2 linked regions of the Lepisosteus oculatus genome follow. Each later gene encodes a partner of the first gene's protein in a complex. Links are inferred from orthologs where the notes say so. Each region holds a gene or a part of one and is shown on either strand. Other genes may lie near its edges.

Evidence for each region.
Region 2: the proteins of dnaJ homolog subfamily B member 1 (region 1) and nudc are in contact, whole or in part, in a crystal structure (PDB 7NDX), measured with the Homo sapiens proteins. The link is inferred for Lepisosteus oculatus from reciprocal best matches to the Homo sapiens genes DNAJB1 and NUDC. Residues at the interface, in NP_006136.1 of Homo sapiens: His166, Lys181, Lys182, Met183, Lys184, Ile185, Ser186, Asp201, Lys202, Ile203, Ile235, Phe237; in NP_006591.1 of Homo sapiens: Pro102, Gln103, Ile104, Lys105, Glu106, Leu107, Ala112, Leu115, Gln116, Ile119.

The regions. Positions count from the first base shown.
Region 1 is NC_090706.1:21,686,953-21,702,498, reverse strand, and holds dnaJ homolog subfamily B member 1, read left to right. Parts: upstream 1-6,898; 5' UTR 6,899-7,283; coding exon 7,284-7,494; intron 7,495-9,536; coding exon 9,537-10,108; intron 10,109-10,664; coding exon 10,665-10,895; 3' UTR 10,896-14,349; downstream 14,350-15,546. UniProt on the Homo sapiens protein: Interacts with HSP70 and can stimulate its ATPase activity. Stimulates the association between HSC70 and HIP. Negatively regulates heat shock-induced HSF1 transcriptional activity during the attenuation and recovery phase period of the heat shock response.
Region 2 is NC_090706.1:7,311,322-7,327,065, reverse strand, and holds the start of nudc (nuclear migration protein nudC), read left to right. Parts: upstream 1-7,587; 5' UTR 7,588-7,707; coding exon 7,708-7,782; intron 7,783-9,026; coding exon 9,027-9,104; intron 9,105-10,976; coding exon 10,977-11,201; intron 11,202-11,807; coding exon 11,808-11,888; intron 11,889-12,097; coding exon 12,098-12,211; intron 12,212-13,068; coding exon 13,069-13,263; intron 13,264-13,862; coding exon 13,863-13,946; intron 13,947-14,222; coding exon 14,223-14,341; intron 14,342-15,744. Other genes in the region: nuclear receptor subfamily 0 group B member 2, read right to left, coding at 410-651, 1,564-2,122. UniProt on the Homo sapiens protein: Plays a role in neurogenesis and neuronal migration. Necessary for correct formation of mitotic spindles and chromosome separation during mitosis. Necessary for cytokinesis and cell proliferation.

The sequences.
Region 1 (15,546 bases):
AGTGCAGGAACGTTGTAGCTTTTCCAATAGAAAGCCGACAGTTGATGTTTCCGTAGCCAATCGTAGACTGGGTAAGAACAGACACTAGCCAACGAGAAGACACTGTCGGGATCACTCCAGCCAATTGGGAAACAGAAATTACCTATGGAGTGATGTTAGTTTGGCAAATTGGAATACAGATAGCTCGTTTCCTCAACGTTCAAAATCTTTCATAGGTTCTCTTGTGATGCAGGGGTTAATGCTAAAAGTAATTGTTGTTAGGTGCATTGCATTGGTGTATGGGGGGCGGAAAGTGTTCAGCATTGTACCATACAGTATCAGAGTTGGTGATCTCGTTCACGCAATGTGCAACTACACGATAGCAGATGTTTCTTCCATACTTTTCTTCGGTGTAGCCTTTGTAGATCGAATAATTCAATCCAATTGCGTCAAATCTTTAAGATCTACGTATGTTGGACCTTAGAACAACGTTCTAAGAAATGTGAATGTGGCCACTTATTAAGTACTACTCATAAAATGGTCTCTTTTTCTGAATGCAGTACTACACAGGTTTATTATAAAACATAATAAACATGTCATGGGATGCCCTTTACCTAATAAACTGCATATTAAATCTTAGTATTAACCCAAAATCCTAAGTGTTACTCAATAAGGGCTGTCCATTATCAAGATACAAGAAGCTGCCATTTTTATTGCTTTGACAATCCTGGCAAAGTTTAGGTTTAATATAGGCCAAAGATGTATGAGTTTTTTTACTTCCATTAACAGTTTTCCACCCTGTTTCGAAAATGAATTTATATATATCTTGAGGTTTTTTATTCATATTCAAACCAGACAAACTGATTTTGTGGTTATGTGGAAGCAGTGCTTTAGCAGATGTATGTATATTGTAACGCATACGGCCACCATTGCAGGTTGTGAGAGCCGGCTTACCAGAGCGGTGACGTCACTTCCCTGTGAATAGCAGGGACCGCAGCCGCCGGGCTGAAGGGAGATTTCCCTTTGGCTCAAGTGGCTGGGTCCCTGTTGAGTGATGTCAGAGGCCTGGGTTTGAGTCCCTGATGGTGGGGGGCCGGCCTGAGGCGGCAGTGGTGAGGGTGCATACCCACATGAACCCCGTAGCGTTACAATATGTAATATGTATTGTGGGCTTCGGTAAGCTGGCAGAGCTGTGCATGAGATGTGAGCATGATGAGCTATCTCTAAAATAACAATTTTGATCTCTACAATATTGATATCTAGAAATTATAAAGCATGGCTGGGCTGACAAGATAACAAGCTGCTTTAATCAAAGTAGCAGAATCATGTGCATCAACAATAGCTAAATCAGTTATATTCACTAATAGCGCAGCACATCAAAGAAACTACCAGTTTGTCATCCTCAGGAATCTTGAGACATACTGTATCCCAGGTCATTCTTATTGCTTTGGACAGGATGGGTAATTCTAATGAATATTATATTCTCAAAACATTTGGTAGAGCATTAACAAAGGAAAGCTGGAGAAGTTAAATACCAAAAACTGAATCTCTTCAGTCCTGAACAGAGAAGATTACAAAAACACTGGGTTCAAATATTCAAAATCCTCAGAGGTACTGACAACTCAGCAAAGAGAGTATTGTAGCACCCACGTGGGGCGCTTTAACGGTTGCTCCCTCCCCTTTAGCCATGAGCACAGGGTGGGCTGGGAACAGCGCCTGAGGGCCAGGACTTTTCGGTGTACTGTTCAAAGCCTTTTCCTGAGTCCTACACTTGCTCCACTCCGTACCGAACCCCGCAGTAGTTACATTGGTGTCAGCAGTGGGACGGAGTGAAGCAACACAGAGCCCTGAGCATGGACAGCGGCCTGAGCGTGAGGAGATGCCAGGGCATGCAGAAAGAGGCCCGGTGCACGGAGAGCCCCAGCGAGAGCCAGCACGAAGCCCCAGCGGAGCCCGTGGAGCAGCCTGCCTTGCGTGTGCAGCCTGGAAGGATGGTTTGGACTTGGCTCGACTCTTAGGTGGGGACAGTGTAGCGCCCACATTCACCTCCCAGTGAAGATGGCCATCCAGTCTCCACTCAAGATATTCAGAATCTACAAGCTTCTAAACAGGCAACATATGTTGAATCAACTCATCTCATCTGTAAAATGACCTGTGTTCTCATGTACAGCTTTCCTGCAATCATATCATAGAAGAAGAATTCTGAAGCCTAGATATGAGGAAACCATGTTGTGGATATATATTTTGTATCAGAGTATCTAATTCACATATTTTCTATCTCTCAAATTTAGGAATTACATAAACTGTATCTCTTTAAAAGTGGGGTAAGTTATTGCATATTGTGTCTTTCAGACCTACCTGACGATCTCCGTTGTGTTTGGGTCCTCAGTTTGGAAAGTATTTAAATGAATGAGAAATGTAGTATCCCCCTTACCCTGGGACAATCAAGAAAGTTTTTTTTTCCCCAATCCAGGTCCCAGAGAAACAGCGTGTGTGGGTTTTCATTCCAAATAATCTCTTAACAAAGAGCTGTCCTATTCTGTTTGTCTCTTTATGTAAAATCATACTATACTTTGTGAGTATGACTGCCTAAAAAGTCTACACCTCTGGACCCATAAGAAGCATTTTCACTTGAAAGCTAATTCATTGTGCATATCCATGGTGAACTCAACATCTAGAAACAAGTCTAATTTACCTGTGTAATTTTTTTAATTTAGATTGAATTTATTGTTAGTTCCAAAATATTTTTAATAATGAGAATATTTTTTTAAGTAAGAGCTGTATTTGATCACTTTTTCTTTTATGGTTTTGAAAGACAAAAAAGAGCAAATTAATGCAGAATTAGTGAGTGCTCCACACTGACAATTGCAGCAGAAGATTGAAAAAAAAAACCCTGTCAATATATTTATGATTTTTGATCATAGTGATTTGTAACTTTACATTCCTCATTTTGCAGCTGGATTAACAACTACTCACTTGTCATGAACATGAAAACTGTGGCCAAAGAAGGCATCTATGTTACTGAACATATTGATATTGGGATAAAGGGATAACAGAGTGTCTTGACTAATTGAGTTAGATTAACTTCAGTTGATTTTCTTCAGTATTTCACAGAGCCTCTAAAATGTGGAAGTGGTGCTTAGTAATTCTCACTGCTCTCTGGAAGCAGGGTGTAACAAAAATAAAACCAGCCTAAAACCAGATATTCAACTTAGGCAGGGGTTTCCAATCCTGGTCCTTGAGGCCCGCAGATCTGCCGGTTTTTAGTCCACCCAAGCTGTCAGTTACACAAGTGAACCCTTAATTGACATAGAAACAATTAATTTTTGAGGTCACCCTTTAACTACTGCATGTTTGAGGTAAAAAAAAACAACAACAACTTGCAAATGTTCCAATTAAGCAGCTTGTTAGATCTGCTTTTCAAGGGTTCAAATAAGTAAGTTCTGCTGGAATAAAAGAATCATTAGGAGTGTAGTACTCCAGGACAAGGTCTGAGAACTTCTGAGATCAAAAAGGGAAAATGGGAAACAGAAATATACATAATTAACTCACAAGAAAGGCGGCACAGTGACATAGTGATGAACCTTGCTGCCTCACAGCTTTGGGGCCTTGATTTCAATTCCGAACCTGGGTGCTCTCTTTGTAGAGTTTGTATGTTCTCCCTGTGTTCACGTGGGTTTCCTCTGGGTGCTTTGGTTTCCTCCCACAGTCCAAAAAAAAAAATTTTGGTAAATGAATTGGCTTCTGGGCAAATTGACCCTGGTGTGGATGTGTATATCTCTGTTTATGTCTCCGTGTGCTCTGTGATGGACTGGTGTCCTGTCCAGGGTGTACCCTGAGTTGCGCCTGTTGCTTGCTGAGATAGACTCCGGCCCCCCTGAGTTCATGAAATGGAAGAAAATGGATTGATGAATGAATGAAAATCCTGTAGCATTGGAAGACAAGGATTAGCCAAGATCACAGACAAGCAACATCTTAGAATCCAGGTGCCAAGATAGAACAGTCCTGCATAATGAACACATAAAAACAGATATAAAAAGGAAAAGCTATGCATTTAACATTTAATATATTCTTCATTTTTATCATGTATAATTTACTGTTGCAGATGCACTTGTAATTTTCATTTAGTTTAGTGTATATGTAAATGAAATGTTTATTTATCAAGTGAGTCTCAGAAACACACAAGCAAAAATAAGAGGAAGAGTAATAAAATGTACTTGGGTATTCTGAATTTGGAACCAAGGAATAACAGAAAATTGTCCGGTCCTTGAATGCTAAGAATATCAAATAGTTATGATATAAGATAACAATTCATTAATATTAAAACTAATTTTTAAACAAAAGCAATTCTACGTTGATAACATCAGTTTCCAAAGTGATAGATTCAATGCTACCATCTACAATGTGTGCTGGGTAGAATAGAGAGATGTGAATAAACAAGTAGAGATTATTTCCCTCCTGAAATGTTTTGGCTGTGGAGACTTCTTCACAAGGACAGAACAGAGACTTATTAAACTACAGCAGTTGCCATTTTCTTTCCTTCATAGGTTCCTCTACAATCCCTTCTGTGAAGTGATTCTTCTTTCAAGTGAGGCTAATACTCCTCCATCATCACTCTAAAACTTCATTCCCTAGGCACACATTATGCCAAGTATGCCATAGGTCCAGTATGCCAATAGTACAGTACTGTCTGACTATCCACATTGCTGCTATTAGAGACCACAGACACTGTCAATAGAAAAAAAGGACATCACTCAAAGTCACTGCTATTTTTAGGAAGTGATCTCACCTCCATGGAGATTTAAGTTTCTGTCTAACTCTTGTTCCTAGAAACTGTTGTCACATTGTTCGTTGTTGTGATGCAGATTTTAAATTGTTCCTGAGAAGATTAATTTGTAAAGGTCAGCTTTAGGCAGATGTCACCTCTTCTTCTATGGGATCTGAAAGGACTGTTGCAGGGATTGGGGTGGTAAGAATGGGCGTATTTGTTTTCATTACGTTGAGTCTGGCCTTGGTGTTTGGTCACAGCATTTCAAGTGGAATGTTATAGTCTTATCCTGAAGGGATGTCATCCCATGTTTCAATAAATAAAACTTATATCATACAACTCAGAAGGCACCAATGGAAACTACATAGACTTGTATATAAAACCAAGAGCAGGAGGCACTTTGTGACACCAACAACACACATCACAATAATAACATTACTGCCACCATGACACCTTAGTTTATACATGTTTTAAGTGCTTTGTCTTTCCTCTTTCACACCCCCGGCAGGATATAGTGTTTCTCTTTAAGGGAAAACTGCTCTGTTATTTTCCTTCTTGATTGCTTTTCATTTAGTTCTATTCAAGTCACTAGATCTTCAAGTCCACTAGAACAACCAATAACTCTTCTCATCACTAACTGTAACAGCTGATCCCATTTGGGATACTTTTCTTTAACCATCACTTGCACCCCTGACATAGCATCCAGCTTCTCACACTTCTCAATCTGTCTGCTGATGCACAGACTTTATTCAGGACACAATCTGTGCAATCCAGACTTCCTCTCAGATGCAGCCTTTCCAAGAGACACAGCAGCGGTCTTACAGGTATCAATACTTCCAGTCAGCCCTGGTTAAGCTGGCCAGCCATGTTCCTCAGCAGCAAACATCAACCCTACTGTGCTTGGCAAACTACCACATCTAACAAACACAGGACAGTGTTCTTCCCTCACTTTTGAGATTTTTGGAATAACATTACACTGCCTCCCTTACTTTTTTTATTCCTTTGGTTTGTTAATCCCTTTCTTAGTTTTCATGTAGCCTATCTGTCCAGCACCTGTAACACTCCTCAGTACAATTTCAAACATCACCAATTAAGCGACATTAAGGCAACCCAATCAGATATGAAAGAGAACTCTCTCTGAATGCTAATTACTCTATCAGACCAGGTGTGCCTCATTCCATAATTTCCCTCCCCAATTAAAAGATGGCTGTCTCACAAAGTCACCTGTCACTACCTCACACAATTCTTTGCCAAAAGGATTCTGAGTATGGAACTACCAAGCCATCTTATTGAAACTGATACAATTTATTTCAGAGGTTCTTAACCTGTGGTGCACAGACCTAATGGGGGTGAGCAACATACCAGATTTTTTAGTAGGTAAATCATCACAAGCACAAATTAAGTACAACTAACTTTGTCTAATCAAACCTACTGTAGGTATTTAAAGGTACTATAAACTTAAAATTATCCTTGAAGACATGCTGTTTTCAGGCCTGTAGATCTTCCCAATTCACTTTATAAACAACTACAGTATGTATAACTTTTTCTAAAAAAGTTTTTGTTTTTTATTTCAGCTCTTAATCAATTGGACAGGTAAGAGATTACCATTAACCTGGTACGATACTCATTTCCTATTAACATTTAAATAACCTTGTAAGTCAACTTGAAGTCCAGTCCATGCAAAAATCAAAGTATAAGATGAGACAAGCTCATTCAGACCATGTTGCTGTTTTGGTTGTCAGAGTAAAGAAAATTCTCATTAAACTGATATTGAAAAGATTGACACTAACTATATAATTATTACAATCCCATGGCACTCTTCGTATGAAAAGGGGATGTTAACTCTGGCAATTCTGCTCTGGAATACGATTTTTTTATGAAAGCAAGAATTCAATTAAATGCAGGCATTGTTGTTTATGTAACATCATCAGTGGACACGCATTATATAAAAATGTATATTAAATGCAAGCAATATTTGTTTTTTACGTGTGGCTTTCGCTCAAAAAGAAGTCACAGAACTATGTTTACGAGGGATGTGTTGAGAACTAGCTGATCAAATGGGGGCGTGGTCTTGAAAGGTTTGTCCGTCCGTGGCGTTGTAGAGGAGGGCGTTGCTGCCTACGCAACGACACTCTGACGTATGACGGGGGTGTGTGCTGGAAGGCAGTATGAGGAAGCATCTTGATGGCGGGGGAGAGTTCTGGAAGTTTCTGCTGTGTTATAAATACTGAAAGCAGGCAGAACCAGCGTTCTGCAGCTTGAGAGAAAGTCGTAGAGAGCTGGTTGCGCTTTATTTTGTTAAGGGTATTGCGTCGTTGGTGTACGTAATACAGGTGTCTGTATATATGACATTGAGATTGCGACTTTTTGTTTATCCTGCGTGGATCTGTAAAAGGAACTACAGTAGGAAACCTTTAGCTGATTCGCGTGACTGCTGTTTGTTCACTGTGACGACGTCGTGACCTTTTGCTTAAAGAGCAACTTGTGTGATTTTCCTCTTGTCGTCTTGTGAGTGTAATTGATCACCGGGGCTGTAATGGGTAAAGATTATTATAAGGTGCTGGGAATCCAGAAGGGAGCCTCGGAGGACGAGATCAAGAAGGCATACCGCAAGCAGGCATTGCGCTACCACCCGGACAAGAACAAGTCTTCGGATGCCGAGGAGAAATTCAAAGAGATCGCGGAGGCCTATGACGTTTTGAGCGACCCCAAGAAAAAAGACATCTACGACAAATTCGGGGAGGACGGTAAGATAACACTTAATTAAAAATAAACTCCACAACAGCAGCATTTCGGCAAGTTTAGGACTAGCAGTGAGATTCCGGGTGTCCCGTTACCTCCATGGAGGACCTCCCACTTCTGAAAACGTTTGACTCCTTGTGATGCCCAGAAAAGCGTTTCTATTAAGATGCCATGGGGAGAGAGCTGTTCCTTAAAGCTCAGTCGCATCAAGCGGATTTGCTGGGTGAATTGCGTTGCATTTTGCAGTCGGTGTTTAGATTTAAAGTCCTTGTGCGTGTGTTGAAAGTGTGCCCGACTCTCCCAGCCTACCGGCATGTTCTGGCAACTTCTGGGTGTGTGTGGCAGCTGATAGAGCCCAAAACCGAAACTAAAGACGTATGATCGACCAGTGCGCTTTCGAAAGTGCTAAGGTGCAGTTTCAGTTAGTGATGGTACTGTTTAACCTTTCTCGTAGTATCATACAGCTGACACGGGCAATCCAATACTGACCGATTGACCCCTGCAGGTAATCGGGTTCGATCTTAACTAGGTGCCGCGCTGGACAGGATACCGCTGTGGACTGTGGAGGCCTGGGGCTACAACGCGCAATCTATTACATTTTGTTGCTTTAAAATATCGATCCCCCTTTTCATATGCCTGTTAAAGGTGGGAAGGCACCACATTTTCTCCGTCTTATGCCCCCTTATTGTCAGACTTTAAACTTGCTGTAGAGTAAGAAATGCAAGTTTTGCTCGGAATCTGGAAAAATGACTGCTTGTTGAGTGTTGGTGAGAAAGGCCCCTTCAAAGTGTGAAGTTGTATTATTTATTTTTTTAAGAAATGCAAACATTCTTGAGCACTGCCGTGTTTCTCTGATGCTTTTCAGTGTAGGGTAGAATATTAAAATGTTGCCTACGTCGTGAGATGTTTTGTGGATCGAGTTTTGCACAACAGCCGATTGGAATCATTAATCGTGAGTCTTGTAATGTTTGTACATTAACCCTTATCTGCCTTAATAATGGCGTTTAAATATGAAAGCATAAAATACAGATTCGTTTAGCATTAACCCGTGTTGGAGGGATCAGAAACCATAACTTCTCGTTAAGGATGATCAGTTAGGGAAGAGAGAACTTAACCTTGTCTCGCTTTGACCAGTCTCGTTTACTTATTTCCGAAACAAGAATTTAAGTCCTAGTCAAAAAATGTTTTAGCCGCTTGAGTAGATATAGAGGTGAGGGTTCCATAGAAAAACAGTTTTCTTTTGTAAGTCAGCTATTCGTGTTATAGACTGATTTGTGGTTGTACTGTAGTTTTGCCATAGTCAGCGGGTAAATGTTAAGTTACGTAAATTTATTAATGTCATTGAATATCTAATACTTTACTTTCGCTGTGTTCTGGCGACCCGGGTGCGCTCAGCCGCTGATTGGCTCAGTACATGCCTCGCGTGCCTTCTGGAAGTTTCTCGCCTGGTCCTGTCTGGGGCTGTTAGAGGCTTACTCTGAGCTTCTGTCGGGATTATACAAGGGCAGGTTTGCAGCAGGGCTTCAGGTGCGCTTTGAACTAAACAACCGTCGCTGGATTTGAGGGCAGAAAGAACTTTTCTTTTAATTGGTGTCCCTGTTCTTGTAGAGTTATCTGATTATTTTACTTATAATTGTTTAACCCTAAACGACACTTTGAGAGGCCACATTTCTGTTGTGATGTTTCAATTTTAAGTGATATGGGCATTAAAGAACAGATAAGAAAGCAGTATTTACAGAATGCCTTCTCAGAGTACCTTGAGTACCATGTACCCTTCATGTACATAAGGTCAAGATGTGCTAAAATAGTCCGAAATAGGCAGAAATCAAGTAATGATTTGTTATACCAGAAACAATTTTCAACAATTTCACTGTTCTTCATACCTCATAATCCTGTGTGAAATAAAATATCCATCTTTTGAATGTCTTTGGTTCTTTAATCAGAAATTCAGTTGCTGCTCAATGGTGCAGCTCTCTTCAGGACAGTGCAGAAAGGCTTGATTTTTCTGACCTGTGCGTAATGTTTTGTGCCTTTTCCCCCCACTCAGGTCTGAAGGGGAACGCTGGAGGTGGCGGACCAAATGGCACAAATTTTAACTACACATTCCATGGGGACCCCCATGCCATGTTCGCAGAGTTCTTTGGGGGTCACAGCCCTTTTGATTCCTTCTTCAGTCGCAACGGGGGTGATGAGGATATGGACATCGATGACCCCTTTGCGGGATTTGGCATGGGGGGGTTCTCCAGGGGCTTCACACGCATGGGGATGGGGGGACGTGGGTCCCGGGATGGCATCGTGAAAAAGCAGGACCCCCCTGTAGTGCATGACCTGAAGGTGACCCTGGAAGAGGTCCTCACAGGCTGCACCAAGAAGATGAAGATCTCCCACAAGAGGCTGAACCCTGATGGACGTACCACCCACACAGAGGACAAGATCCTCACTGTGGAGATCAAGCGTGGCTGGAAAGAAGGCACCAAGATCACCTTCCCCAAGGAGGGTGACGAAACGCCTACCAACATCCCGGCAGACATTGTCTTTGTGGTGAAGGACAAGCCCCACCCAGTGTTCAAGAGAGAGGGGTCTGACATCATCTACCCAGCCAAAGTCACACTCAGGGAGGTATGTGAAAGACAGTGGTGCTAAAGTTGGACAGAATGCTTAATAAAGAAACTTAAGGGCTGTCGAATGGTTTGACTTTTCCTAGCTCAGTCTAACCGGATTTACCAATTTTTGCATACTTGTTAAATCCAAATTACTTGCTTACCAACATATAGATTGCATAACATTTGGAGGCTTAGAGCATGTTTTCTTCATCCTTGTGTGGTCTTTTTCAACTGGTACATTGCTCATTTGTCTTATCTTGCATTAAACTTTTTTTGTACATTTTCATTTATGAGGTATAAGAGTAGCTTATTTATATCACTCTATCCATTGTAGTACTTAACTTGCTTGTGACATTCATATTGCCTGGTATTGTGATTTTGTTTTTTGGAAGTCATCTTAAAAAGAGTTCTCTGAATGCTAGTGGTAATTCTTAGGCTTATTAATTTAACTAGAACAAGTAGAAAAGCACTCGAGGAACTTGAGGCATTGGTTTCTAAATGAAACTTATAGGTTGTAGGTTGTTTTTGTATGACATGACCTTTACCAATCATCTTATTCCTCCCATGCCCAGGCTCTCTGTGGATGCACTGTGAATGCCCCCACATTGGATGGCAGGACCATTCCTGTTACCTTCAGAGACATTATCAAGCCCGGAATGCAGCAGCGCATCACAGGGGAAGGCCTGCCATTACCCAAGTGCCCAGAAAAGCGTGGAGATCTGATCCTGCAGTTCGAGGTGAAATTCCCGGATCGGATTCCACTGCACACCAGGGACGCTTTAAGTCAGGTGCTTCCTCCATGAGAGCTTGTCCCAGGGAGCTGTGTTGCCAGAGGTGCTGTTGGAAAGTGCTGCTTGAAACGCTGACCGGCGACAGCCAAGTCTGCACTTTGTTATTCAGGAAAAAAAAACAAAACAAGATGTGTAGTTTTGTATATCTGTTCAAATTTCGTTTTCTCATTAATGTTGCCTCATCATCTACCACTTCAAGCACTGCCATCACTGAAATCTGTGCAATGCTAAAAGAAACTACAGGACTTCATCTTACCTCCTGGAGAGAGGCAGTGATTACTGTGAGATGGGAGAGGTTTAATTGTAAGGGCTTCGCTGTATTAGCTTCTGAAAGTTGAAGGTGATGGAGCCTTTTTGGGTCTGTTTTACCTGAGCAAAATGACTATTAATATGACTTCCTTTTACATGAAGTAGTTTACTACAAAGGTTTCTATCATACATTAACAAAGTGGCTCTTGTTTTCTCATAGATTAACTGATTCATCTTCCATGCCACTCAATAGTGAAGATTGAAAATTAATTAATTGATGGGGTGGGTAGGTATTAGAGCATCTAAAACTCAAAGTGCTCTCTTGGGCTTTGAATTACAATTTGTAATACACTCTGTGCAGAAATAGTTAATAAAGTGTCCTTTTGCTAGAAGAGTACAAGAATCATTCAGTAGACTGAATGTCCTTGTCATGGGCTCGAAGCAATGTTCCATTGCCTGAATCGGTACTTCAGAGCTAAGAGCAGCATGTTTCCTGTCTGTGATAACATTTACTAAATAAATGAGTTAAACCTTTGCGAGATGTCTGCAGATGTACTTTACAACAATAAGAGCAAATTGGATTTTGTGGCCCATTTGTTTTTATTATTGTTGTGTGAAGGCAGATGAAATATGATGCTTCTCTTCTATAGATGTAATATGCCTGGTTATACAGTAGCTTTAAAAAATTAAAGTAATCACCTGACAAAATAGAAATACATTTTATGATCATTCTAGGGGTATAGGATAAATACAGTACGGTGAGGGTAGATTTCAACAGTTTTGATTTTCTCTTTCAGTGTGGTAAAACCAGGACTGAAGGTAAATATTCACTGTTTATTCCAGCTTGCATAAGCTGTACATAAGCACCATATGTATTTTTATTTGTATGTTATATTTAGTTACACTTAGCACTGGTTTAAATGTTTCAGGTTACCAACAGTTGTACTAAGAGTACACTAAAGTACTCCAAATATGCTTAAAACCATTCTGGTCAATATGCTTGCTGTATGTTTTAGTGAGAATCTTTAGGTTTTTTTTCTGGATTAGGAAAAAAAATCAAAATGCACTTCTGGGTTCTTGCTCTGTTTAAGAACCTGGTTACAGAAAATAAATTCTGGAGAAGACTTGCAGTGTAAGTATAAACAGGGCATAAGATGTGTGAATGTTTAAAGGTTTGAGAGTAGTTCTCTGACCATATGCTCGAACAAGGAGAGAAAGGTTGCTAAAGTCAAAACTGCAAGCAGCCATATCACCCTGCAATTCACAACTGGTAACCCACTGAAGTTAAGCAGGTGTGAGCCTGGTCAGTACCTGGATGAGAGACCTCCTGGGAAAAACTAAGGTTGCTGCTGGAAGAGGTGTTAGTGGGGCCAGCAGGGGGCGCTCACCCTGCGGCTCATGTGGGTCCTAATGCCCCAGTATAGTGACATCCTTCGGATGACGCGTAAAACCGAGGTCCTGACTCTCTGTGGTCATTAAAAATCCCAGGGCATTTCTCGAAAAGAGTAGGGGTGTAACCCCGGCGTCCTGGCCAAACTTCCCATTGGCCCTTACCAATCATGGCCTCCTAATAATCCCCATTTATGAATTGGCTTCATTACTCTGCTCTCCTCCCCACTGATAGCTGATGTGTGGTGAGCGTTCTGGCGCACTATGGCTGCCGTCGCATCATCCTGGTGGATGCTGCACATTGGTGGTGGAGGGGAGTCCCCATTACCTGTAAAGCGCTTTGAGTGGAGTGTCCAGAAAAGCGCTATATAAGTGTAAGCAATTATTATTATTATTATTATTATTATTATTATTATTAAAAACTGTTTTAGTTTCTGATTGAAACTCAACTAAAACCTTTTCTTATGATGATTTCATTATGTTCTCTTGTGGAATGCAAATTTTAAGTTGGAGGTGTTCTATTCCAGCTGTGAAGTGCCTCAAGATCTTGTTTCTTATTCCAGGTTAAGCTCTCTGTAGATTCCTGTGATCACTAGATTCCATGCTGGATGTTTGTACAGTCTAAGGAAAGCACTTGATAAGAGGTACTAGATCTGTAAATTGGGTTGTTTCCTGGAGAAAAGTGTTAATTTATCTGATTAAAAAACTAGACCAGTGAATCTGCTGAGCTTCAATGTGGGGTAAGAAAAAGACATGTAACTCACCTCCTTATGAGTCTGAGTTTGATACCCCTTGCTGGTGGGGAAGGACTTTACTTTTTGCAGGTGTCATAGCTGCTTTCAATTGTAAATTGTCAATATCAAGCTTAACTCTTTCTCCCTTTGTGGGAGTCATGGGACTAAAACTTAACCTGACTAGGAGTACAGACACTTACTCTTCACTGTCAGGCTTTCACTTGACCTTTAAGGACCTCCTGCATGTGTCTCAGCTGCTTTTATGCAGGTCTCTGTATAACTCTGAAAGCAAATGATAAAACTCTTTTCTAAGAAGCAGGTATTTGATATTCTGTTCTTTTATTGTGTACCAAGAAATGCCAACACATTTAAGAAATAGATCAAATATGGAAGGACCTTAAATATTTTTATTTTCTTCACTTCTGTTATCAATGTTGTGTGTTTGAAATCATTATATAGAGTATGATTTATTTTTAAATCATAACAATTCTGGTTAAGCTCGTATCTTGGGGGGGAAAATAAGCTCATGGACCGAGAGTGAGATATAATGTTACTGAAATTATTCTTTCTTCCTTTCTCATTTTATCTACCATTTCTTCTTGGGGAATCAAAAATTGGAAGAAGTGGGAGGGGTCTTAATCACACTATATCATTAATATGTGATGTGAGTTAGGGTTTCAGCCTTCCCATGTCATTGTACGAATTAAAGAAAATGGATGTAAGGAATTCCATACTCCTGTGTGTGGTCATTCCAAATTGATAAGAGGGCAAGAGCTCTCTTTAAGCTTTGTAAATGTAAAAATGTCACTTCATTTAGGAGTTTTTCTGTACACTTTGAGAAAGTGTTAAGTGTTGATAAATGAGTTAATGAGATGATAATCCATCTCAGTGGGCTTTGGTTTTGCAGTCTTACGTATGTAAGAATCTTTCCAAGGTTGCCAATGCCTAAAAAGGATTTTTGTACATTTACCCTGTAGGGTTCTTAGGATTTTCAGTTAAGTTTTATGTATTGAAAACATTGGCTGTAATATAAGATGGTGTATCTGAAATGACCGCTGTTTGATTTAACTGAAATAAAGCTTTTTGTAATGGCACTGTGTTGTTTTTAAAAATGTATATTTCAATTCTTGTTTTTATAATTTACTAAATATTTAAATGGTGTCTCAGTGGGTCCTATAATGACTGTGTTCTGTATCAAAGCAATAAGATAGATAGATAATACTTTATTAATCCCGTAGGGAAATTGATGAGAACTGATAAATTGATAAATCAATAAGAACATTGATTTATTTTAATTAATGGTAGCCTTGTTCCTTCTAAGTCTGTCCTGCATCTTAAACTAGTCCTAAACGCCCTGATGCTCCACCAGTATGTCCTAGCCATTCACTTTAGTCAGGTCACCAGTTTCTCATGTCCAAAGATGGGACAGTGTTGTGGTCATGAAGCTAATTTCTTTTTGAACACGTTTGTCTTAAGAAGAACCCCATTAGTGGGAACTGTCACCCCCGTTTTGCACTTCTGCATGTCTTCCGTGTCTAAAGCTCAGCAGTTGAAAGTGTAGGATCTCGGTAGAGTAAGAAAATGTGATGGTTCATGCACATTAGTCTAGTGCAGCGATGCCATGTTGAGTCATATACAATGGCAAGAGACTGCTAGACATTGCTGTAAGAAAGGGGAATATAACATAATAAAACAATAGTACAGTATTTTAGCAATTATCAAAAAAGCACTGTATCTCTATTATGGTAGAAAATAGTCAAAAAGCTTAGTTAATTGATCTAATAAAACCCAAAATTAAATGACACATTAAAAGCGGTTGTGAAAAGACCCGATTGAAAATGGGTTATAAAAATGCCAATAGTCAGAAAGTGGCAAATGGGTCTGGGCAGTGAGTTCCATAGACCTGCTGCAGCACATGAGAAGGCCTTATTACCTTATATTGAAATATTCATTATGTTTCAATATAAGGTGTTACATTGTAATTATATATTGTAATATAATTATATTCTATTACAATATAATAGAACGCCTTATATTGAAATATTCAGGCATGTCAAATCATGGCAGTCATGCTTTTCTTGGCAGACAGCTAGGTTCAGTGTAGAGAAGTGAGTTAGTGAGAGCTGTGGAATGCTTTTTAATTTAATTCCTTACAGTTATAAAGCACTTTTCTAGACACTCCACTCAAAGCGCTTTACTAGGTAATGGGAACTCCCCTTCACCACCACCCATGTGCAGCACACACTTGGTTGATGCGACGACAACCATAGTGTGCCATTGCGTTCACCACA
Region 2 (15,744 bases), about 14 Mb from region 1:
TTAAGCCAACAAAACCAGGTTTGCCCTTTCAGCTGAAAGATCTATATCTAAATCATAACATCGAAAGCTTGGCACAGCGTATGAGAGATACGCCAAATTCACACACCGAAATGATCGAGTAGTGAGTCCCCTCTGTAATACAGCCAGGCTGTTCCTCTCAAACGATTTTCTGCGTATCGTCGCCGTTTGAAACTCGCAAGGCGAGAATGTCTCTTTGCTCACTTCGCATGATTTTAGCGGACCTTTTTGCCCAAGTTTTAGACCATAACATGACAGTTTTAATAGCAGGACATGACGTGCGTGTTCCCAGGTAGAGTGCACCAAGCTCTCTGTAACACTGTCCCCTCAAATCAGCGGCTCCGCGACGGGTGTTGTTGAGTTTAAGCAACCTGAGCTCCTGTATCCTCGTTTATCTGGCGAAAAGCATTTCGGCGAGTAGTTCTAAGAGGTCCGCCTGGCCGATGACAGGTCTGAAAAAGAGCTCGGTGATGAGGCTCGGCGTGATGGTCTTGAGCGCGGAGGCGGTGAGGAGGATGCGGGCGAAGCGGCCGCGGTCTCCCGGGTGGAGAGGGAGCAGCACCTCGCGAAGAGCTCTCTGGGCCTCCTGCTGCATGCTCTCGATGAACAGAGACGCTTTCAAGCCCGGGACATCTGAAAAAAATAACCGAATTGAAGGCGTTTTTAAACGTCTACACGCAGTCAGCCTTAATTCGAATTATGGGGTTGCAAAACTGTGCTGGTTAGATACCACCGAGAACGCACTAATCTCTCTCCCGAAGCGGGGGAAAACCAATCAACTCTATTAAGTGTTTCTCCTAACTACTACACGTATGAAACAGAAGGGTTTACATGTGTAGTTTATCCTTTTGCGACCAAGTAATGGCAAATGATGCCAACACCCGTTACGGACGTGTGCTGTAATACCCACAGTGTCAGCAGTTTGAAAATGTGGTACAAACCCCTTCATAACAGACTTTCCCCGCTGGGGGCTGCCTGACGAATTGTGTTCAGGAAACGGTGGCCTTTTTGACAGCTTGGAAACAACGACTTCAAACGCGTTGGTCCGATTCTTGCGAAGTAATTCTGTGCCACTTTACCATACTCATTTTTTATTTCCTATTTTAACTTTCCCCCCTTCAAGAGAAATTAGCTAATTCTGCACTTTATCCCAGTGGACAAGTAATGAATGTGGCTTGTAGACCTAATTAGGTAGAATTTCCTTTTTGGGGGGGGGGAAATGGGACTCTTTTGGGCAGAAGATTTATAGTAGTAAACGAAGGATGAAACTTTGGGCCAATGTCCATCAATGTGTAATTTTCGAAACAGCCTTTTCTTAAGCCATGTCAACAAGCTATTTTGTCCGTTAAAAGACATTAATAAGCAGGACATTCATCCACTCATACATTCCAATTAAAATACTTAGTGTGGATTCCTTACTAACTAATCCATCTACCAACAATTATGTGAGAAAACTATTCGGGAATTGACACTTATTACTTTATTTAACCCGTTGGTACAAGAAGATCAATAAGCACGGTGATAATAATTCGCTAGTATACTTACCGGGGTTAAAAAGAATCGCTCCTTTCAAATAGGCGTATTCTTTTGGACTCATATCCAGGCTCCAGAACTTATTGACGCAAGACTTCAGCTTCTGTACGGCGTCCAGCGTGGGCTGCGCCCTGTCCGAGTGCTCCAGCCGGGTTTGGTCCTGGTCCTGGTCCTTGAGCAGGATTCTCTTCAGCAAACTGGCGGCCGGCGTGTCCGTCACGTCGAAGGCCACCCCTTCCTGCGCCAGCCCCAGGATGAACAGCGGCGCCCAGCCGCTCTGCAGCAGAGCCAGCTGGTCCTTGAGTGGGAGCTGGTAGAAGGAAGGCAGGTTCTTCATGAAGTGGATCGTTTTGACCAGCACGCCGGAAGCTACCTGGCACGTCTCGTCCGGGTTCTTGAGGCCAACAGTCCGCCGCATCTCGCAGTGGCAGCTGTGCGGAGACGTGATGTAGCTGTGGGCGAGGTGGTCGCTGTCCTTGCGGCTCAGAATATTGTAAAGGATGGCGTTGGACTGCCGAACACTGAAGCCGGAACACTGGCATCTGTCGCTGGGCTCTTCGAGGCAAGACATCGTTTACTTAATCTTTTCAACTAAACGAGGCTTAAAAGAATTTGGTACGGTGAACGCGCAGGTAGCCTGTAAATCGCCCTTGCGCGCTGTACCACTTGGCCGCGCAGCTACTTAAATGCTTTGGATCAGAAAAGCTCTGTCCGCCGTGCGTACGCCTGTCTCCAGCTCTGCTGTCCCAGACCTATTTATAGAGGCTTCCCCCTAAGGTACAGCAAGCCAGCCTTGACCCTAGCTGAATAACATTTGCTCACTGAAAAACAACATGACCCTGGACTGCTTGGCTCAGGTAGGTTCGCTCCACGTGGAGAAGATAAGGTTTTCTCAATGAAGATCGGCGGGTTGATGGTACAAGGCGACGTTGGGGTGGTTGGGAGTAGGTCACTTATCTTATTTACTTCAGCCATTAACCCAGCCTGTACCAAGCTACCAAGGACTGTGGGAGTAATCAAGCAGACAGTATATGGCCACTATCGCTGCCAGCTAACACCTAATGAGCTGGAAGCCAGCCAGTACAAACAGTTAAGATATTATGCATGTAAAGAGCTGTCTGATGCGTCCTTGAGTAGTATATCGCCTCTCGCAGATGCGAAATTATTCATTTCAAACCCTTTTCGGCAACCTTAAAAGGTGCTGAATACGAACTTAAAACTGGAACTGTTTTCCTCCGAGTATAAAATACGGAGCGATAGAGATTTTGGTTTCAAGAATAGGAGACGTCACATCCATTGACTTCAACCCAAGGGGATAGGTAGACGTTTTGAAGAGCTACAATGCATAAGTGATACTGTTGAAAATGCAAGATATTCGTGATGTACAGAAAAATCAATAGGAAAAAGAATCACCCTGAAATGGATAGATGGATTACTTCTGAAAGCTTAACAACATGTAAGAAATTTATAAGGATTTATAATTGTATAATAGAACACCAAACGACGTGTTTTGTAGGAAAAACAGGAAATTCTGAAGTGAAAATTCTAAATATAGTTTGTTATGAGAATAATTATATTAGGTTAATAATAATGCTATACTATATAATATTCGGTACTGACAACTCCCCCGTTTTAATCTGATAAAATACATTATTTTTATTCATCTTGTTAAATTTAAAATAAGCTTGTACCTCCATCCCTGTTCAATGCAAGTCATTCTGTGAACAGCATATATCAACACATTCAGTACAATATATGTGTGAAATAAACTGTTCAGAACCTTGGTATAGGCAGTCCAGTATACAAACCACAAAGGGCATTGATTACTAATAGACTTGTATTTTGCAGATATTATATCTGGGTCAGGAATAGACACTGAACTGAAGGTCATTTGTATTTTTCAACTGCTTAACTAATCAGCAGAAATTAAGGTTGCGTCATCATTTCCCTTGACTGAGTCTGAGACCTCACATTTTCTTTTTTGACACTCATAAATGGTGAATTATTCTGTTTCAACTAGTCCAAGCAATTTGTTTTTCTAAAAACTCGTACCTTTATACACTAAGGAGTTTTAAGGAGTGTTGTATTAATAATCACACTTGACTGGTGTGATGTACTAACCAGCGGAGCGTCTTTTTCAAAATGAAAGAGAAGTACAGCACAATTCTTACATAGCAGTTGAATTTTAGATTTTCCTTGGTGTGAAACGTCTTGGTGAATGGGTTTCACTTGAAAGAACCACTGTTAGATTTTTGTTCAGAGAAACGGGCTTATTGTAAGATGTACTGTAAGGTTACTAGATTACAGCCAGATTACTTGTTTCTAATTGAAGAACTAAGACAGCACGTTCAGATGATTTTTCTTGTCTGAAAAACATGGCACATTGGCCTGCTTACTATTTTCTCTTAGTGTGGGATCTTTCTTTCTTTTTGTATATTCTTTTTCTTTTGTATTTTAAAAATGAAAACTCCATTAAAAAAACTGCATCAAGGTTGAGTGTGAAGCAGTTATTGAAGTAGTTCAGGTGGGCAGCTGCGTCACCATGCGTAGGCTGCAAAGGAACAAGTGATAGGTTTATTCCACGCTGAAAAGAGAAGAAAGAAAACACAACGTTGCAACTGTGGAGCCTCACTTGGGTGTGACACTCGAAGAAGGCTCCACAGCCGAAACGTTGTGTTTTCTTTCTTCTCTTTTCAGCATAGTTATTAATGCAATTACATTATGCACATTTTGGGCATAAAATCATTGCTGTCTTCGGAACGTTTTAGGAGGTTCAGTTGGTGAAGAGTGAGACCAACAGAAATAAAGAATTATTCTCTTGTCCCCTCCCTTGGTTTTCCAACAATGCTGCACCTGTGGATTAACGCACAACTCCTGGCGCCAATTCTCCTGCTGGGCACTCCTGACTGAATGCCATTCATAATCAGATTACCATTTCCTGATGGTATAGTCAATAAAAGTGAGCTAATGCAAACAGCCATCATCCCAGAAGGAAGGCTCTGAATCAGAGACAAAGCAGTAAAGTATCCCTTTTTTAATCTCAGTCGTGCCTAGCACAGAGCTCTTCTCCTGATAAGGCAATTGATTTATTGGGGAGGAACAAAACTCAGGAATTGCAGCAACATAGTGGCCTTTCACCAGTGTTCCATTCCATCTGGGAAAATGCAGATATGTTGTTCTGAAAACCAAAACATTTAAAAAAGGATATTTAAATTCACTTGCTAACATTCGTGTACATTGATTTTACTGTAATTACTTTGTTCTCTGTATCCTGATGTTGTCCAACTACAGCACATTAAATACAGCACATTTTTTAATACAGCATATTAAAAAAAACACAAGAACTCATTACCACGGTCATTGTTTCTTAGAGTCACTTTTTACTTTTGGGGAACAAAAATACATTTATTTTTCTGACATTGGTCACACGCAATGATATTATTTTTAGGAGCATTAACTAACTCTCCAATACTACAGCTATTAATATGTACAGTATATCTGGTGAAGATTTCATTCCAACCTTAACCAGCATATCTTTCTTTTACCAAGACAGAATAAACTAACATGTCATCAAGAAAAAACACCTGTACATTTACAGTAGAATATGAAGTGGGCAACTACAGAATGCATCACAGTAGCTTACCATTAGGTCCATTGTTTTTTGTTGCATACGTCTCTGATATCTTGAAGATTAATGGATTGAATATCAATATGTGACAAAATCAGCTACTGCATAGGGAAGTAGTCATCTTGGATGGAGACGAGAGGCTCTTGTCATAAAATTGTTTTCTATATTTTATTAAATATGAAGTTATTTGGTAGTTCTATTAACTCAATGTGAGTATATTATTGCTGATGTAGTGACTCTATTTATGCCTTTACCTAGAATAATAATTTTAAGCTAATGTGGCTATGTTATCAGGTACATTAAGAAGTTTTAGGAGGCACATATCACAAATGTCCATTGGTGGAAAGCAGGCAATTGAACAGAATGCTTTCTAACTTTAAGCCTGCCTGATTTGTGCTAAATATAGCATGGACTTTGACCAGTGCTTCATACAAAACAGGTGGGAGAAATCAATGAAGCCAACCTCAGTGCAGAAAGCACACAGACCTGTTTACCAAGTGACATCCAGGTTATCACAGGACTCTGCACACTGACTGGATTAACTGTGCAACATACCGTCGGAATAAACAGGTCTGTCTCACTGTCAGCTGACTGGTAAGTAGTGCCAGGACAATGCACTGAAAACATCAGCACTGCAAACTTCACAGGACAAGCCTCCTTTCATCTAGATCATCGAATCGCTAAATTACAGTCCCACAACAAGCTATACTCTATATATTATGCCTCTCCCATGAATATTTTTTAGGACAGAGAGTAATCAGAGATATGTTTTACAGTATGTAATATGTAATCAGTATTACAAGACATTAAAAGACATATTTCAGTAAAACTTGCATAACCATTAGAAAATGTAGTTAACAACAACAATTATTTCCTGGGCTTCTACAGAGTATTCACATCCATAATTGACGAGGTGTGTCAACATATTTGACCAACCTCAATTCCTCATATTTAAGCTGCTTCACCTTTCTTTATCACTTCCAGGCACGTTTCTTAGTACTGGAAACAGCATTTTCAAGCAGAAACAACATACTGAAACCACTTCTTCCAGTTGAGGATCACAGGGGGGAGCAGGAGTCTATCCCAGCAATCAAAGAGCTCAAGGCAGGATACACCCTGGACAGGATGCAGTCCATCACAAGATAGACACACAGACACACTCACACCAGGGCCAGTTTTCCTACAGTTAACCTACCAGTACGTTTTTTGGACTGTGAGAGGAAACTCATAAGAACATCAGGAGAACACATAATAAACTCCACACAGAAAGAACTCCAGGCCCAGAATTGAATTCAGGGCTCCAACACTGCAAGAGAGCAATGCTAGTCTCTGTGCCACCCATGACTTAGTAACTTGTATGTAATATTCAGGTAGTAGTATGGAGTAGCAGTGCTCTGGACTGTAAACCAGAGTGTTATGGGTACTGCTTCCAGGTTGGATGTTGCTGTTGTAACTTTGAGCAAGGTACTTCACTCAGCACACTGCAATAAATGCCCTCTAAAATGGGTCATCATTATAAATGGTCATTTGTTCTCAAATGTGATCACCTGTTCTTTGGGTAGGACTGGTCAGGAATCTGGACTTAACCACTGCAAGGCTGTGAGTTCAAATCTCAGGTGAGGCTCTGCTGATGTTCCCTTGAGCAAGTTGTTTCTACGGTATTGTTCCACTAACATACCCAACCATACAGATGAAAATCTGTAAGTGTTAGCCAAATAAATGACTACTTCGCAACTGACTGAATTTATAAAAAAAACAGAAAGTCAACACTTTATATAGGCCTGTGTATGTTTTCTACATTCCTTAAAAAATGTCTAAAATCTCTCAAAGTTCATTATATTCTTTTTACTTATTAGAATTTTGAAGCGTGATATGCATACTCCAACCTGCTAGATTAATTTAAATTTATTTCCAATTTAACAGAGTATAATTGGAAAAGGGGAGTTGCTGCAAAATACTGTACTAGCTGTTGGCAAATGTTGGCAAGCAGATCTCCTTATGCTAAAGACATGAAGTCGAAGACGGTGAATTCACTATTAATTTTGCGGTATCTTATAATACTGCAAACCGTTTGTCAAAACGAACCAAAGTCTAGACATACTTTGAAAAGGTAGCATAATATCATCTTTATTACATTAAATGCTTACATTATAGCATGACAATGGTGCCACTCTACACTTCCCCTAGAGCCACAAACACTGCATTTTCTTTCACCTTCCAGAACATTCCTTACTCTAACCGCGACTCTGTTCCTAGTCGGCGCGATTTAACAGTCGGAACGCTCTGAACCAGCCCTCTCGGCGACACTGCTGATAGTTGATTGGTTCACAGGACCTGTCAGTTATAAATAAAACATTCGATTGGGTGAGAGTTGATTTTCCTTTTTTTTGGTTGTAACGGAGGCGGTGCTTGTTTCCAGGAAGTCAATGGTTGCAGGGCTGCGGGGAGCGTGACAAGACATTCATTGAGTTTGCGACTGTTGCTGTAACAAACGTTCTTCAAATTAAAATTTATTTATTAGATAAGCCATGGCAGAAGAAGATGAGAGGTTTGACGGTATGCTGTTGGCTATGGCTCAACAGCATGACGGTGGAGTGCAGGAGGTAATACATAATAACAAACTCGTGGATGTTACATTTTTATGGGGGATGGGGAACTGCTCTCAAAAACGCTTAAAGAATTTCCGTTGCAGTCCCTTTCTCTAATTGCTGTATGGTCAAACATTATCTGCAATTTCGTAAGCTATTATAAAGCTTTGAGTAAATAAGTAAAGTAAAACGGTTTATTAGTCTTGGGAATCGTTTTATTGCGCTGGGTTTCAGTGGGTTTATTTGAAAGTAACCTATGTTCTTTATCTTTAAAATATTATACAGAATACAGGAGAAAATAAACCTTCCCGTGTGTATCTTCACCCGTAATTGGACAAACATAAGTTATCAGCATTTCCATTTATTGGCCTTTTGTATCCGTACTCCCTAATATTCTGATGTAGCCTAATCTCCGACCATATAAATATATTACCTGTCACTGAAATAGGGGCTGAAACTAAATGTTGGTGCCAATTGCAAAAAAAAAAACAATACAGGGAGATGGATAAAAAGTTTAGCGCAGTGCTCTGAAGCCCATATATAAAGTCGGTTCATAGCGTTGTGTGGAAAGGCAAGACATTTCTTCATCTTTTCTTACAGGCCTTGTTCTTGATTTAAAAAAATCCTGCTCTTTGCCGATTTGTGTTCGCACTCAGTAGAACAAAGAACTGCCATTAGCAGCACAATCTGCAGCCCGCACACCACACACGTTAAAATACAATGAATAAGATCAAAACTAACACTGAAAAGGTATCTTATAGCACTACACAAGAAAGGCTAGAAACCTTACAAATGAAAGGGCTATTCAGCTCATTAAACTCCTAATAATATATAGTATTAGATTAGTGAAATACATTCATTTTAAATGCATGAATGCATGTTACCATTCATATCTTGAATTAACAAATGTATATGCAGGTTACTTTTAGTTAATCTAAAAAGAAGAAGGGATTTTTGGAATTGGTCTGGCATTTTAAAACTGAAAGCATGCTGGAGGAGTTGCATAGCAGCACAGTGTTAACTTGAGCAATACCTCCTTCCATTATTTATCTTCCCAGCACAGATGTCTTGAACCTGTCAAATCACTTTTGTTTCGTTTGTGGTTTTGTATGAGGATGGATGCTGTGAATGGTGTTGATGTGAAAGCCAGTGTAGATTGAAACCTTGAATTCCAATGGCAGAGTTGAACGGTGTAATTTATGTACTGTAAATACCATCATGCCATAATGGGTTAATTATTTGCGTTCTATATTTTGTAGCTGGTGAACACATTCTTCAGCTTTCTGAGGCGCAAAACAGACTTTTTCACAGGCGGGGAACCAGGGGCACCAGAGAAGGTAATAATCTTCTGATTTTTATTCAGGTGATCCTGTGCACGTGATCACATTACTCCTGTCCTGGTGTCCTTGCCCTTGCATCTTTGCCTTCATCTCTTGTCACATGCTTGAGATCTCGGGGAGAATCAGGATCTGGGACACAGTCTTTTATGTTTCATTTGAGTTACTTGTAGGATAATTTCAAGAAAGTGTTTTAAAGCAAAGATGGGTTTGGCCAGTGGGCTGTCATCTGTTTCACTCCTGTTCCACACTTGTGTTTATGCAGCTGAAGAGAGGTGGAATTAGTCTGGTTTTTAGTCTTCCAATTTACTTTTAGAATTATCAGAGTATGTTTTTGGATTTGGAATGATCCAAAAACATTCGTAGGTTTTTGATACTAATGATGAATGTAATTATGAATTAACATGCTGCTTTTTTTTCCAAATATGACTCTTCATAAATATGCAGGCCTTCTTATTATTACTATTTTTTTAAATCACTTCTGTATGGAAGGTCCAGGACAGGGTCATGCTCCTGTCCTTGCTGTTTTGCAGTTCATAGCTTCTCCCAGTTGGCAAGCTCATTTGTTTGTCTCTGCTGAAGTAGTACAAAGTCTGGTTTGTTGACCTCAATATCTTCCTGTTACTGCACAGTGTGAAAGTGTCCAAAAAATACTTCAGGGGTCAGACATTGTGATGCAAGGGAAGGCTCAGGGATGAAAACATGTTTTTCCAGGATCTGCTGAGAGCTGCACATTGAACTGTTGCCTTGTATCTGTAAATCAGGCATCAGACAGTGGGTTATTTTAACAGGTATACAGTTATACCCCAATAAATATTTTTACCCCAATAAATTGACCTTACTGGGTAGGAATTCTGTTTCTGCACTCTGCAATTGTAGTTCAGAATCTGAGACAGCTGTTTCTCCCTCAGCAGCCAGAAACCAGTAGCATTTTATTGTATTGAAGTTTTATTGATAGATACTAGTGATAAGACATAATTATGAATTCACAACAAATGTAATAAATCATTTTACATTTTTTGCTGATTTTTTTTCTGAAGAGCACAATGTATTCCTCGTTATTCTGACTTCCACTAGATTTCTACAAGTTTCACAGATTTAATTGCCAATACAGCCTAATTTGAGTTAGAATAAATCAACCTTGAAATCTAATTATCTTTAATATGTGTTGATCAATTAGTTACTAAGTACCAAATGTACTACAGGAGCCCCCTGTTATTTCTAACATGTTCTAATGAATATTCAAAAGGTTTAGTTACAACTATTGAGTAGTAAATATTAAGCGTTGAAGTAGCTAATCCACAGAAGTTATTTGCCACGGAAGTCTGTCTGCCTCATTGTCAGATTCTCCCTAGAGCATTATTTGCTCCTCTGTACACGTCACTAATGCTAAAAAGTTGTTTTTTTATACTTACTGTACAGATCTAACTGTTAGCTTAAAACAACATGGCTCCATGTTCAGTAGAAGATAGCCAAGACATCGTGATTCTCCATATAAGAGGAAAAACACGGTAAAAGCAATAGCATATTGCTGAATGTTTACGATTTTTTCACAGAAGTGCACTGTATATATTTTGTGAGTCATCGCAGAAACACACGAAATCTCTACTGAAATGTATTAAAATCCGACAAATACTGTTCATTCAACTATTAATTTATGGTGATCTTAATGCTTCTTGTTATATTTATACCTTGGGACCTTTGCTGGGGTATATTTGAAATGAGAAAAATGCAGTTTTTGCATGGGTTAGTATAGTTAGTATAAAGGGCATCACTGTCATCGCTTTTTGGCCATGTCTGACCTCAGTTGGCAAACACAGTAAGCCTTGACCGAAGTTCCCTTCCTCTCTCCCCTCCCCATCCCCCGGCTAGCTGGTGAAGGAGGCCTTTGCACATCACAATCAGCTGGCGCAGAAGGCTCAGCGGGAAAAACGCGCAAAGCAGGAGAAGGAGCGACGGGAGAAGGCAGAGAGAGCTGCCAGGCTGGCAGAGGAGGAGGAGGAGGGGAAGGAGAAGAAGACCGGAGAACAGAACGAGCCAAAGATCAAGGAGCTGACGGACGAGGAGGCGGCACAGCTGCAGTCGGAGATCGACCAGGTGAATGACCCTGATCTGCAGGAAGATGGCAGTGCACACAGAGCCAGATACAGAAGATGGTATAACACCGAACAGTAAGACACTTTTGTGCAAGAAAGCACTTGGATGGGTGTGCAGATGCATCAGGTATCCATTTATTCCCTTCAGTTCTGTATGCCTACTGTGTATCTTTACAAAATGGTTTGAATTTAAGTAATTCAGTACAGGAGTAGAGATCAAGCATGCATACTAAGAAAATATTTCTTGCTTAAACTCCCACAATCTCCCACAGTCTAGATGATGACCTAAAACATATGCCGTCCCACTTCTTCCCTTCATGAAGGGTGAACGTCTCTGAATTCATTTTTGTTTTTCATTTTATACCTAACCATTCTGCTAGTTGTGTGATGTTGTTCAGGGAACCTCCAGTCAGGGTCAGCTAGTGACACTAGCACATTAGTCCCAGAGACCGCTAGTGACCCAGGCTTGAACTTGTGTTGTCTGGTTCATGGAGCTGAACCAGCACACTGGGTGAGCACATGTACAGTATATCCAAGCTTCTGTTCTCTTTGTTTCCAGCACAGTGCTGTCCATTCATAAATGGCATCTCTTGTTTCTCATTACAAGAAAAAAGAAGAGGCAAAAAAGCAGGAAAGTGCTCCCAAGAATGACGCAGAGAACTCATCTGACAAAGTGGAGGACAAAGGGGTAAGATCAGTCAGTGTGCCTTGACTGTCTTGTAATACTTAAGCCTCAATTAACTTGTTTAAAATTGTCAAATAAAACTAAATTAAGGATAGGGTTGGGAAGAAAGCACAAGATAGGAATGATTGCGAATGCTGAAGCTGTGAAAAGGGTCGCTCATCCAAATGTTTTTTTCATAATAAAGAAAATGCTTTTTTTTTTCTTCTTTCCAGTCTGACTCAGAAGGCGAGGAAGACGAGAAGGACAAAGGAAAGCTGAAGCCTAACTCTGGCAATGGAGCTGATCTGCCCAACTACAGGTGGACACAGACCCTTTCAGAAGTGGATGTGAGTGGATGTATTGAAGCATCGAGCCCTGCTTTGCATATTACACACTCTTTCATCGTGAGGAAAACTCAGCAGACCATTTGTACGAATATGCCACGCAGCTAAGCACCTTACCGGTGCTTTGGATTTTTAATTCCTTGAATTTACATAGTGATTTTCATTCCACTGGATCTCAAAACATGTTACAAATAGGATGGGCACATTCAATCCTCCTGTGAAGTGCAGGCAGCACCCATCTGGATGTCACACGGTAGTTATTATGCAAAGTGAATGATTGATTTTCTAATTCAGTTAAGAGGAGAGTTTAGGGAGGTCACTCTGATTTAACAATCCTACTCATTCTAACAGTGCCTTGGGCTCTTCAATGATATGTGAGCCAGGAACCTGATTAAACATTATCCACAAGGCTTTCTTGCCTACAGTACGGTGTTCTCTTTCAGCTTACTGGGGCATTGTTTGAAAATTGTTCACTTAAAGCACCAAGCTTGGTTTTCTTGGAGTTCTCCTGTTCTATTAGTGAGTAGGCAAAGCCTTATATAGCTTCTGATATTTGATGAGATAATCATACATGGGACAATGCTACAGTTATGGATTGTAATAGAATAGTCTGTGAGCTGATGAATAAAGCTGATCTAAATATGCAAAAATTACTGTGCCATTATTTATAATCATAATAAAAGTAGTGGTGGTGATGTCAATGAAGGTCTTCCAAATTCTTGGGCTCTAAGTTATATATGGCATAAACTGTTTTTTTTAATCTAGCCAAACAGCCTCCCTTTTCATGCATTTTACTTGTTCCCTTCTGCTGTAAATAAGCGTCATTTTATCAATGTATGCTCTCTTTTATTAACCCCCAGCTCCTAGTGCCATTTGATGTTAAGTTCCGCCTGAAGGGGAAGGATTTGGTAGTGGACATCCAGAGGCGGCACCTCAAGGTGGGCCTGAAGGGGCATCCGCTGGTGATTGACGCAGACTTGTACAATGAGGTGAAGGTGGAGGAGAGCTCCTGGCTCATCGAGGACGGGAAGATTGTCACTGTCCATCTGGAGAAGGTAGGGAGCGAGACCTGCAGCGCTGGTAGCCTCCACTCACACACACCCTACAGCGTGATCTCATTGCTGACTAGCCTGCCTTCTGAAAGGTGGGAGAGAGAGTTTGTTGAATGCTTCATCCTCTGTAGACCTAACTGTAATTGCTCTTCCAGTGATAATCTGCAGACTGTAGTGTTGCTCTCTGCATGTCAGGTTTATAAAACTGGTATGTATGTATACAGGTATTAGTGCAGATAGTTCTGAATTGTGATTTCTGCCTTCTTTCAGATTTGTTTCTCATGACTTCTGATAGAATCTCTTGTATACGCTGTTCTGTGTTGCGTACACGAAAAACAGAAATCCTTCACTCATTTCCTTTTTGAAATGTTACCCAGTGACTGTCATTTTCTTAGTAACACTGCATGTTAAAGGTTTTTGTTTTCTGTTTTGTGCCATTTACTTACATTAAGTGTTTATTAAAACAGTGTTGAGTGTGCAACGTAACTGTTTTTTTTTACCAGTTTTAACGTAACACCTTTACCTTGTGTTCATTGCTTTGAGTTTTGCAGTTCTGACAACAGTAGACCCAGGTGGCCACAAATCCCTGTCTTCTCTTTCAGATTAACAAAATGGAGTGGTGGAGCAAGATTGTGACAACAGACCCAGAACTCAACACAAAAAAAATATGTCCAGAGAATTCCAAGGTAATATGAGGAGGGGGGCTTTTCTTCTGACTAAGGAGCATGATAAGGCATTCAAATGTAGGAAAAAACCTAATTTGCTTTTATCATAATTTCAGATTTGATCTTTTTTCTCTATGCAGTTGGCTAATCTGATATGACCATGACCTCTGTCTGTTTCTACTCCAAAGTTCAGGAACATTGAGTCACCATGAGAATATTTTATAGGAGCTGTGAATGCATGAAAACGTAAGTGATGCCTCTGATAATATAGATCCCTTTGTCGGTCACTGTGCACAGCTGTCTGACCTAGATGGGGAGACGCGCAGCATGGTGGAGAAGATGATGTATGACCAGAGGCAGAAGTCTATGGGTCTGCCAACCTCAGACGAACAGAAGAAACAGGACATCCTGAAAAAGTAAGTCTGCTTACATTGCTGCAACTATGTGGAAATTGTGCATGGGCCCGGTGACCCTTTAGCTAGTGTGACTGGGTAATTTCCTGAGTTATTGTCTCTAATCTTGACTCTTTCATTTGTGAAAGGTTAATTATTTTTCTTAATATGTGCTTACCTAGACATACATTTTTATCATGGTTTGAAGATTTATTTTTATATGCTGTCTTTATGCAACGCATATTTCCAGAAACAATCTGGATCTGCTTATATTACACCCAAGCAGATGGTTCCACAGAATGTACAGGAGAAAAGAGATTTTATGTCTAACGTGATTGGTGATTACGTTTTTAGTTTTATTTTATGGTTTGGTTTTTATAACTACTGAATCCTGGTAGCTGTTAGACGTTGGATCATTTACAGTTTTACGGGTCTGGGTAAAGGCCAAATATATATATAAAATCATATCCTTTAAGGCTCGGCAGTAGTTCCTACAGTTACGCAGTCAAGGTCAGGCTAACAAGGTATATTGTTCCAATAAAGTGATTATGTGTTTACTGTACCAGCTAGTGGAAGCTCACCATGTGCCCAAAGTTGACCTTCATCAGGATTGTGCACTATTGACAGCTGTGTACGCTAGGTCCAGACTGGCTTCCACTCACTCACCATACATGTGGAGTTCACTGTCATTTGCTAGATTGAACTTTTTGTCTAATTTTTCTAGACACGTGTCTGTAAAAACTGTGTGCACCTTGTTACTGTTGCATCTGCTTTCCTCCCATTTCACTTTTTAGTGATTGTATCCTGAACTGTTTAATTCATTACCTTTGATAACCTATTATTTCTAAAAGTACCCCCAGTCAGGCAATCCCATGGCTCAAGTCAGGCCTCAACATGTTTCCAGGTTCTCTGAACTAAAACAGCCATTTCCATGTTGTTTTCTTTATAAATAAATACTTTACCTCATTTCCATTTTTTCTCAAGTGAAGATGATTACAATTTTGAGAACAAAAGGTGTCTGAGAGTTCTTATCCTTATCTACCTGTGGCCTGTCCTGTCAAACCAACTCCCTTTCAGCTGCCTCAGATGGAAATAGATGGATTTAAGAATCATAATGCTGTGTGAAAATATCCTGCCTTTAAGGAAAATTCCATAAACTAAACATTTTATTTGCGACATCTTAACCAAGGCTACATTATACAAAAGTAATTGAAGGTGAATTATTTGAATGTCCTCGTGATGCATTTTATGCTGATGTGCCACTGCACCAGTGTACTCTTTTGAAATAAGAATAGATCACGATGTAAAATAGCTGCATGTATGATGGGGATATACTGGGACTACCCTCACACCATTCTAACCTGAATGGACAGCACCATCCATCCAGTTTCTAACTGCTTTATCACAGGGGAGCCACAGGCTATTCT